Anolis sagrei: one gene and its partners. The protein of the gene in region 3 interacts with the protein of the main gene of each other region in a biochemical or structural test. Links are inferred from orthologs where the notes say so. Each region holds a gene or a part of one and is shown on either strand. Other genes may lie near its edges.

Region 1 (3,753 bases), on a different chromosome or scaffold from region 3:
AAGATTATTATTATTATTTTACTGACACAAAATCGCAGTATGTCACAGCAAATGAGATCTATATGTTGGATTTTGTATCACAAGTAGATACAAATACCTCACTACCTCTGAGGATGCTTGCCATAGATGCAGGTGAAATGTCAAGAGAAAATGCCTCTAGACCATGGCCATATAGCCCAAAAAAACCTACAACAACCCAGTGATTCCGGCCATGAAAGCCTTCGACAATACAAGTCGAACACTTCCCAAACGTCTAGGACTGTGTGATGTATTTTCGAATGATGTGTGCAGATCCAACTAAGGTGGCCTTTTGCAGTTGATAGATTGTGATTTTCTCAATATTTATTGTTTCCAAATGCTGGCTGAGATCTTTTGGCATGGCAGCCAGTGTGCCGATGACTACTGGGACCACCTGTGCTGGTTTATGCCAGAGCCTTTGCAGTTTGATTTTGTGGTCCTGATAATGGTTAAGTTTTCCTCAATTTGACTGTCACCCCGTATGACAACATCAATAATAATAAATAATAATAATAAACTTTATTTACCAATGGGGACTCGGGGTGGCTTACATGAGGCCAAGCCCAATCAACGAATTAAAACCAAAAACACATGCAACAAACAACATCATAATTACATAAAACATATGAATACATTAATGATATAAGATTACAATAAACACAGTCACAGTGACAATGGGTGGCTACATGTGCGAGAAAATGATTTAAAAACTGATTAAAAACACAGGTGAGATAAAAGGAGAAGCAGGTTATTTGCGGAGGGGAGCTTATTAAAAGGAGGATTGTGGAATTGAGCTTTCCCACGAAGGGGGGGGGGGGGTAATACAAACTTATTATTATTATTATTAGATGAGTCCACAGGAAAAATGATCACTCTGCTGGCTGTTGTATTGCATTACACATTGGGCAGTTCTCAAGTGTCTAGGACTGTGTGATGTATCAGTGAATAATGGGTGCAGATCCCAGTAAGGTTGCCTTTTGCAGCTGGCTGATGGTAATCTTGTCAGCGCCAACTGTGTTTTAAGTGCAGGCCAAGGTTTTTAAGCACTGCACCCAGTGTGCTGATCAGCACTGGGACCACCTTTACTGGTTTGTGCCAATCACCACAGGGACCACCTTTACTGGTTTGTGGCAGAGTGTTTGCAGTTTGATCTTTAAATCCTCATATCGTGTCAGCTTCATTATTATTATTATTATTATTACTATTATTATTATTACAATGCAACCTGAGCCCTGCCACATGCACAATGGAAGACCTTCTTATAGCATCACCAGAGGCACTCCATGTGGCCAGCTACTGAAAAAGGACATTTAATAAAATGCCAAGTTTGCAAACTTTGTTTTTAATACAACCGTTTGGTTTGCTCCTGACACGATAAATAAATTATCTAAGGGTTCACGGCGAAAACAGCGCAATGTATTCACGAGATTCTCTTTGTGTGCAGCTTGGAAGCAAAGAAGCAGAGACTGCCTTGCTTCCTCCCTCCCTCTCGCCTTTCGGCTGTCACCCAGGGGCCCCAACATGGCTGCTGTCGCCCCCTCCGGCGCCCCTTCCTCCCTCCCTCCGTCCCTCCCTCCCTGCCCAGGAAGCCCGGCTGGGCTGCGGAGAGAGAGGCGCGGGCCTCGGGGCGCGGCCTGGATCCGGGGAGGGGAGACGCAAGCCTTTCCTGTGGGTGAAAGGTCAGGGGGGCGGCGGCTGCTCGGCTGCCATTGCGAGGCTGAGCGGAGCACGGCGCCCAGGACGCCCTTCCTCCCGCCCTTCCTCCCCTCCTTCCATTTTCGGGAGGCTCCCTCAAGGAAGGCAAGAAGGGCCTGGGAAGGCCTCGCCCGTCCGCCCCAGCTCCTTCCTTCCTCCTCCTCCTCCCGTTCCCCCGCCCCCGACTGACCTGACAGGCGCGACGCATCCGCAGCCCCCTCAGGGCTTATTTGACGGCGGCGGGAGGTCAGAGGTCGTGACCCCGGCCCCGCCTCGCGCGGCCTACGCTCACGTTCTCCTCTCGGCGCCCCTCCCTCCTTCCGTCCCCTCAGCCGCCGCCACAACCGCCGCCGCTTCAAGGCCCGGTTGCGCTTGCGCAAAGCGAGCCCATGGCGGAGGCGGAGCGAGTGTCACCGTGCCGCACGCACGGCGGGGGAAGAAGGGAAGGGGAAGAGAAGGGAGAAGAGCCAGGCGCGTCGTCATGGCGACGGAGGGGGGAGTAGTAACGGGGGAAGGGAACAGCCTTTTGAATGGTCTACCTCAGGGTCAGGTTAAGCGTCTTCTGCGCATGCGCGACGGTGAGCCTCTCTTTTATCTTCTCTCTCTCCACAACCTCCTGCTATAACCTCCTGCTATTGGTGGGCCTTTTCAAGGACTGGGCCAAAAACCCCTATCAGCCAGTGATGCTTTTAGATGGGCTGTTTTCTCCAACATGTTTGTGTGTGTGATGGGATGTGTATGTTTGTGTGTATGTGTTGTATTTCAGTGTCAACACTGACACTGAAATTCAACACCGCCTAAGCTCTGCGAGTGCAGAGTGTTTGAGGGCCGGAACATCCATAGGAATGCCAAGGTGCTTGTTTATAAAGCTCATTAAACACCGAGAAAACCAAAGTGCTATTCCAGCAGTCACCAGCCAATCCCTCTCCAATGCCAGAAATACAACTTAATGGTGTAACATTAGAAAATGTTGACCATTTCCACTACATTGGCAGCCACCTTTCCACAAAAGTCAACATTGACACTGAAATTCAACACTGCCTGAGCTCTGTGAGTGCAGCATTTTTCCAAATGAAGCACAGAGTGTTTAAGGACCAGGACATCCATAGTGATACCAAGGTGCTTGTTTATAAAGCTATTGTCCTGCCAACCCTGCTATACGCCTGCAAAACATGGACTGTCTACAGACATCACATGCAACTCCTAGAACGATTCCATCAGCACTGCCTCTGAAAAATCCTACAAATCTCAGGTGAACAAATGTCAGCGTGCAGGAAGAAGCAAAGACCACCAGAATTGAAGTGATGGTGCTCCGCCATCAACTCCGCTGGACCAGCCATTTTTTCTGGACCACTGTCTCCCAAAGCAGTTGCTCTACTCCGACTCAAGAACAGAAAACGGAATGTTGGCGGGCAGGAAAAGAGATTTAAAGATGGGCTCAAAACCAACCGTAAAAACTCTGGCATAGACACTGAGAACTGGGAAGCTCTGGACCTTGAGCGCTCCAGCTGGAGGTCAGCTGTGACCAGCAGTGCTGTAGAATTTGAAGAGGCATGAATGGAGGGCGAAAGAGAAACGTGCCAAGAGGAAGGCGTGTAAAGCCAACCCCAATCAGGACCGGCTTCCACCTGCAAACCAATGCCCTCACTGTGGGAGAACATGCAGAACAAGAATAGGGCTCCACAATCACCTATGGACCCACCATCAGTACACCGATCTTGGAAGACAATCCTACTCGGACAACGAGGGATCGCCTAAGTGTGTGTGTATCTCCTTACTTAGAATTACAGATTTGAGAGAGACCCTGCAGGCCATCTGTAACATTAATATTAATAATAAAATAATAATAATACCATCTGCTGGAGGCAAATAGAGGGAGAAAACGTGGAGGCAATGACAGACTTTGTATTTCCAGGTGCAAAGATTACTGCAGGCGCAGACTCCAGCCAGGAAATCAGAAGACATTTAATTCTTGGGAGGAGAGCAATGACCAATCTCGATAAAATAGTGAAGAATAGAGACATTACACTGGCAACAAAG
Region 2 (3,753 bases), on a different chromosome or scaffold from region 3:
TCTTCCCTTCCTTCCCTCCCTTCTTTACCTCCCTTTCTCCCTCCCTCCTTTCCACCCTTTTCTCCTTCCTTCCCTCTTTCTCCTTCCTTCTTTCTTTCCTCTGCCCCTTCTCTCCCTCCCTCCCTCCATTCCCTTCCATCCTTCTCTTCTTCCCTCCCTCCCTTCCCTCTCTCTTTCCTCCCTTCTTTACCTCCCTCTTTCTCCTTCCCTCCCTCCTTCCCTTCCACCCTTTCGTCCTTCCTTCCTTCCCTCTTTTTCTTTCCCTTCCTCTTTCCCTTCTTCTTTCTTCCTTCTCTACTTGTTTCTTTTCTCACTTCCTTTGCTCTTTGGTGACATCCTTCCTTGTCTCTTTCCTTCTTTCCCTCTTTCTCTCTTTCATTCCTTCTCTCCTTCCTTCCTTCTCTACCTTTCTTTCTTATCTTCTCTCTCTCCCTCTTTCTCTCCTTCCTTCCTGCCCCCTTTCTGTGTGTTTTGCATGTATATATGTGTGTGTATTTGTGTATATACATGTATATATGTAGTTTTGCGCATGCGTTGCAATGTATTTTCTTTTTTTTTTTTTGCTTTTAAAGTCTCTTCTGCTGTGTTTTCCAGTGTGATGGTCACTTGTTGGCCTGATACGTGCTTTGTGTCCCAATTTGGTGTCAATTCGTCCAGTGGTTTTTGAGTTCTGTTAATCCTACAAACAAACATTACATTTTTATTTATATACATTTGGGAGTTGTAGTTGCTGGGATTTATAGGAAGGAAGGAAGGAAGGAAGGAAGGAGAGAGAGGGGCCAGGAAGGCAGTCCAATCTTGTCTCTTGCACTGTGCTTATAATATGATCTAATGTAATGTAATATAATATATACATATAATATTGATAATATTATAATGTAATACAATATATTACTACTAATAATTAAATGATATTATAATTATATATTTTATATTAAATGTAACATTACTAATAATATTACAGTATAATGTTATAGTACAATATAGTAATATATAATATTAATGTTGTGCTATGATAATAATATATTTATTTACTTTTTACTTGTAAGCCGCTCTGAGTACCCTTCGGGGTGAGAAGGGCGGCATATAAATGTCGTACATAAATAAATAAAGAGAGAAGGAAAGACAAAAGGGAAGGAAGAAGAAAGAAGGAGAGAGGGAGGAAAGAGGGAGGGAGAAAGAGAGAGGTAAGGAAAGGAGGGATGGAGGAAGGAAAGAAAGATAGGATGGTGAGAGAGAGGAGGGCCTGAGAAAAGACTCCAGGGAGACGCAGTAATAATAGCCACGAGCATGGTTGTTCTTCGTCTCATCAATAATAGTAGTGGAAGAGCGGGATATATATGCCATAAATCAGGGGTCCTCAAACTACGGCCCTCCAAGGTCCTCTACCCGGCCCTCGCTCAGGGTCAACCTAAGTCTGAAATGACTTGAAAGCACACAACAACAACAATCCTATCTCATCAGCCAAAAGCAGGCCACCATTTCCCATTGAAGCACTTTTTTTTGTCGTGTCAGGAGTGACTTGAGAAACTGCAAGTCGCTACTGGTGTGAGAGAATTGGCCATCTGCAAGGACGTTGCCCAGGGGGCACCTGGATGTTTTGATGTTTTACCATCCTTGTGGGAAGCTTCTTTCATGTCTCTCAATCAGGGCCAGCCAATCACCTCCCAACAAAGGATTCCCCCAAGCAGTAAGAAGCCAGATTTTGAAACTGCGAGGCCATTCAATGCTAACACCTCCCAACCAAGGATTCCCCCAGGCAGCAATCAGACAGACTTTGATGCTGCGAGGCCATTCAATGCTAATCAAGGTGGCCCATTGCAACATTCCCCCACGCAGTAAGAAGCCAGATTTTGAAACTGCGAGGCCATTCAATGCTAACACCTCCCAACCAAGGATTCCCCCAGGCAGCAATCAGCCAGGCTTTGATGGTGCAAGGCCATTCAATGCTAATCAAGGTGGCCCATTGCAACATTCCCCCACGCAGTAAGAAGCCAGATTTTGAAACTGCGAGGCCATTCAATGCTAATTGCAACATTGGCAACTACCTGAGTGCTTTCTCCCATCCTGGACATTATTCCACAGATATATAAACCCAATTTTCCTAGTTTCCAACAGATCTCACAATTTCTGAGGATGCCTGCCAGAGATGGAGGCGAAATGTCAGGAGAGAATACTTCTGGAAAGCTGGAACACTCACAACAAGCCAGTGGCGACGGAAGCCTGAGAGGCCCAATCCTCCTCCCTTCGCGCTCCGTGCCAAACGGGAAAGGCCTACCAGGCCTTTGTGTGGGGGCGAGGCCTACCTCTCTTTCTCGGGAAACGAAGCCTAACCCTTTCTCCGGCCTCCTCCTCCGCCGAGGCCTGCTCGCTCACCTCCAGCCTCGGGCCTTCCTCTTCCGCTTCCTCTTCCGCCTCGAACGGAACCCCGGACCGAGATGTGGGAGAGCCTTCTTTTCCCCCCTTCGCTCGGGCTCGCTCGCTTTCGCACTGCGCATGCGCGTTTTCCCCCTCACACTCTCTCGCTCGCTTTGGCTCACACTGCGCGTGCGCAACAGCCGCGCCGCTACTCTCTCTGGGTGATGTAGTCCCTTTGCCGCCTACTCGCGTCTGGGGAAAGGCAAACGGAACTACGCTTCCCAGGAAACCCCGCGGCGCTGCATCTCCGCTGCGGGAATAGGGAGAGAATATGAAGGTGCGCTTTCCCACTCTGTCCACGCGATGGCAGCGCACAATCTCAAGCAGAGTGCAATATTCCCCTGGCCGCAAGAGGGCGGCAAAGCCACCTTCCCATTAGAACTTCACCTGCCATTGACACTAATACTAATATCCTTGGAATTGTAGTTTTGCAAGGCCTCCTCTGGCCAAGACTACAACTCCCAGAATCCCATACAGCTCTGTAACTAACTAAAGGGCATCTCTGCCGCAGCCCAATGCTAAGGGAGCCTGGGAGGTGCAGTTTTGCAAGGGCTTTTGCTTCCTTTGCCAAACTACAGCTCTGTAGGGTTGTTTTCCCATTTAGTGACTTGTAAAGGTACGAAACATTGTCTCATTTCCCTAAAACCAAATCAATATATATATATATATGTGTGTGTGTGTGTATAAAATAGTTTAAATTTTCATGAATATTATTTGATTAGTTTAATGAATATTTTTCTGAATATTTTTGAGAATGTTTTATATTTTTGAGAATATTACATATTATATATTTTTCTGAATATTTTTGAGAATATTTTATATTTTGTGCATATTATTTGATTAGTTTAATGAATATTTTTGTGAATATTTTTGTGAATATTTTATATTTTTGTGAACATTATTTCATTAGTTTAATGAATATTTTTGTGAATTTTTTATATTTGTGTGAATATTTTAATGAATACTTTGTGATGATGATGATTTATTCCTGCCAGACAGGAAGATAGAATTACTATCTTACTATATTTTTACTATATTACTAGCCACCCCCTGCCACACATTACTGTGGGAAAAAAAGTCTGTGTATATGCACTTTGTATGTGTATATATTTGCATATGTATGTGTGTGTGTGGTTTTGTGCATGTGTTGTAATGCATTTTTTTGTTTTTTTGGCTTTTAAAGTCCCTTCTGCTGTGTTTTCCAGTGTTTTAATGAGTGATGGTCACTTGTTGGCCTGATTGGTGTATTGTGTCCAAATTTTGTGTCAATTTGTCCAGTGGTTTTTGAGTTATGTTCATTCCACAAACTAACAGTACATTTTTATTTATATAGAT
Region 3 (3,753 bases):
ACAAAGAGCCATTCGGCCATAGATATAGATAGATATTATTCACACACAGAGAGAGATATAGCTTCATAGATTTGAAAGGGACCCCTAAAGATGGACTATGATATGCTGCATATTTCAGAGTAGGCAAACCAGACACTCTCCACATCAACACTGACAAAGAAACATCACGAAATACTGTTTACCCACAAGCATAAAGAAATTACATATATTAGAAACCAACACTTTCTCATGACTTTATTTTCCAGATCACCAGACTGGACCACAGCAACGCGTGGCAGGGGACGGCTAGAAATATCTATATAAATAAAAATGTAATGTTCGTTTGTGGTATTCACAGAACTCATAAACCACTGGGGAAATTGACACCAAATTTGGACATGATAGACCTAACAACCCAATTTATGTCCTTCACTCAAAAAATTGATGTTGTCATTTGGGAGTTGTAGTTTATTTATTTATTTATGGCATTTATATGTCACCCGAAGGGGACTCAGAGCGGCTTACAATATATATTTTCATACATTATATTATTAGCATAGTACAATATCAGCATATATTACTATATTGCACTATACCATTATATTGCAATATAAGTTGCTGGGATGTATAGTTTACCTACAATCAAAGAGCATTCTGAACACCACCAACGATGGAATTGAACCAAACTTGGCACACAGTTCCATAACCAACAGAAGATACTGGAAGCGTTTGGTGGGCAGTGTCCTTTGGTTTTGGAGTTGTAGTTGTAGTTCACCTACATCCAGAGATCACTGTGGACTCAAACAATGATGGATCAGGACCAAACTCTACACCAGTGTTTCTCAACCTGGGGGTCGGAACCCCTGAGGGGGTCGCGAAGGGGTGTCAGAGGGGTCACCAAAGACCATCAGAAAACACAGTATTTTCTGATGGTCATGGGGATTCCATATAGGAAGTTTGAGCCAATTTTATCGTTGGTGGAGTTCAGAATATTCTTTGTTTGTAATGAACTATAAATCCCAGCAACTACAACTCCCAAAAGTCAAGGTCTATTTTCCCCAGGCTCCACCAGTGTTCACATTTGTGCATATTGAGTATTTGTGCCAAGTTTGGTCCAGATCCACCATTGCGTGAGTCCACAGTGCTCTCTGGATATAGGTGAACTACAACTCCCAAACTCAAGGTCAATACCCACCAAACCCTTCCAGTGTTTTCTGTTGGTCATGGGAGTTCTGTGTGGCAAATTAGGTTCAAATCCATCATTTGTGGAGTTCAGAATGCTCTTTGGTTATAGGTGAACTATAAATCCCAGCAACTACAACTCCCAAATTACAAAATCAATCCTCCCCCAACCCCACTAGCATTTACATGTGGGTGCCCAGTTTGGTCCAGTGAATGAAAATACATCTTGCATATCTGATATTTACATTATGATTTATAACAGTAGGAAAATGACTGTTATGAAGGAGCAACAAAAACAATATTGTGGTTGGGGGTCACCACAACATGAGGGACTGTATTAAGGGGTCACGGCATTAGGAAGGTTAAGAACCACTGCTCTACACGAACACTCAATATGCTCAAATGTGAACACTGGTGGAGTTTGGGGAAAATAGAATCTTGAAATTTGGGAGTTGTAGTTGCTGGGATTTACAGTTCACCTTCAATCACGGAGCATTCTGAAACCCACCAACGATAGAATTGGGTTGAACTTCCCACACAGAACTCCCATGTGGGCCACAGCAACGCGTGGCAGGGGACAGCTAGTTATAAATATTATATGTATATACAATATATTATACTACATTATATTATTATATGGCATCCTGGGAGTCATAGTTTGGGCAGAGAAGGCCCAAGACCTTGTAAAAAGACCCTAAAAGTGGTCTCAAAGTGCATTCAGTACATTCAGCAGCATTCCCAGGGCAAGGCCTTCCGCCTCAGGGCCTTGGTACCCAAGTGCAGCATCCAGGGAGTGGGGAGGGCACACAGTAAACCTCGGTAAGGAAAATATCTTTCCACAAGTTTCCCTCTTGAAGCCTCTTGAAGCCCCCCGCCCCTCCTCCTGGAAGAATGGTTTCTCTTCCTAAGAAGCCACGGGGGGCCTTTTCCGGCCAGGAGCCCCCCCGCTCCTCAAAGGCCCAACGTCACTCTGCCTCCGCGCGCGCGCACGCACCGTAGTGGAAGTTGCCTACATCAGGGTCGTAGAAGTAGGCCACCGTCTTCGCCATGCCGCCCGCCCGCCCGAGTAACGGACGCCCCACGGGCCGCGTAGCCCCGCCCACAGCGTCCTACGTCATTACGCAGGCAGTGACAGAGGAGAGTGCGCTCTCTCGCCCGCCTTTTGGGGGCGGGTGCTTACTCGAGTCTCAGCAAACTCTCGCGATATTTGACCAGCGGCCCAGGCAAATGTCAGCATTCGTCTCTTTTCGTTTTACGTCAGGATCCCTTCTTTGGGCTTCTGAAGTGTTGACATTGATTGTTGGGGCTCCTTGTTTAAATAAACCTTCCCCAAGTCTCTGCATAGGGAAATGGAAACCAGGAGTGCTTTTATTTACAAAATATTCATTACAAAATGGATCAATTACAACTACAATTGATAAAATGCAAAAGAATGAAAAAAGATTAAAATATTAAATCTATCTAATACAATTAATCTCACCCAACCTATTAAACTTGTATTCAGAACACATCATGTGATGTGCAGGGCTTGATGAATGTAAGGCTGGGGTAAAAATTGCTGGTAGAAACATAAACAACCTTAGATATGCAGATGATACCACTTTGATGGTCGAAAGCGAAGAGCTGAGGAGCCTTGTAATCAAGGTGAAAGAAGGAAGTGCAAAAACTGGGTTGCAGCTAAACATTAAAAAAAAACCAAGATTCTGGCAACCAGAATGATTGATAACTGGCCCATCATCATTGGTAAAGAGTCTGGGAGTCCTTTTGGAACCTCTGCTGACGATGGGGGCCCAGGTCTCTGCTGTTAGCAGAACTGCATTTTTTCATCTGCGGCAGGCTAGACGGCTGGCCCCCTACCTGTCCAGGGACGACCTAGCTACGGTGATCCAGGCCACGGTCATCTCAAGACTGGACTACTGTAACGGCCTCTACATTGGCCTTCCTCTGCCGGTGATCCGGAAGCTCAAGTTGGTACAAAATGCTGCTGCTCGGCTTCTTGCGGGAATTCCGATGAGATGCCACATAACACCAATCTTACTACAGCTGCATTGGTTACCAATTGAGCACCAGATCACTTTCAAAGTGATGGTATTCATTTTTAAGGCCTTGCATGGTCTGGGGCCGATGTACCTGAGGGACCGCCTCACCCCCTACCAACTCCAGAGATCCCTCCGTTCTGAGGACCAAGATCTATTGGAAGTCCCCAGTGTCAAGACCTTGCATCTAACAGCAACCAGACGCAGAGACTTCACAGCAGTGGCACCATCACTCTGGAATACTCTGCCACCTGAAGTCCGTGCCTTGTGGGACTTACCAGCTTTCCGCAGGGCATGTAAGACATACCTATTTCGACAGGCTTTTAATGTTTGATATTGCTGTTTTTAAATTGTTTTAAATTGCTTTTAAATTTTGTTAGATTTTTTTTCCATTTTTATTTAATTTTATTTAAGAAAACATACATTTGCAAATGTTTGTTGCATACAGTGCAATACTCGCCATCTATTAATGTTCTATATTCCTTTATCTCATAGTATATTTCTATTAAGGGGTCACAGTCTACTATCTAAATATTACATAAAAAGATATCATAGA

The links.
Region 1: the proteins of HDAC3 (region 3) and NR2C1 form a complex in vitro, tested with the Homo sapiens proteins (4 studies listed by BioGRID). The link is inferred for Anolis sagrei from reciprocal best matches to the Homo sapiens genes HDAC3 and NR2C1.
Region 2: the proteins of HDAC3 (region 3) and general transcription factor II-I form a complex in vitro, tested with the Homo sapiens proteins (2 studies listed by BioGRID). The link is inferred for Anolis sagrei from reciprocal best matches to the Homo sapiens genes HDAC3 and GTF2I.

What each region holds. Positions count from the first base shown.
Region 1 is NC_090025.1:155,091,707-155,095,459, forward strand, and holds the start of NR2C1 (nuclear receptor subfamily 2 group C member 1), read right to left. Parts: upstream 2,226-3,753; 5' UTR 1,904-2,225; intron 1-1,903. UniProt on the Homo sapiens protein: Orphan nuclear receptor. Binds the IR7 element in the promoter of its own gene in an autoregulatory negative feedback mechanism. Primarily repressor of a broad range of genes.
Region 2 is NC_090031.1:29,915,753-29,919,505, reverse strand, and holds the start of general transcription factor II-I, read right to left. Parts: upstream 2,519-3,753; 5' UTR 2,377-2,518; exon of another isoform or gene 2,307-2,376; intron 1-2,306. UniProt on the Homo sapiens protein: Interacts with the basal transcription machinery by coordinating the formation of a multiprotein complex at the C-FOS promoter, and linking specific signal responsive activator complexes.
Region 3 is NC_090024.1:135,123,017-135,126,769, reverse strand, and holds the start of HDAC3 (histone deacetylase 3), read right to left. Parts: upstream 2,284-3,753; 5' UTR 2,211-2,283; coding exon 2,156-2,210; intron 1-2,155. UniProt on the Homo sapiens protein: Histone deacetylase that catalyzes the deacetylation of lysine residues on the N-terminal part of the core histones (H2A, H2B, H3 and H4), and some other non-histone substrates.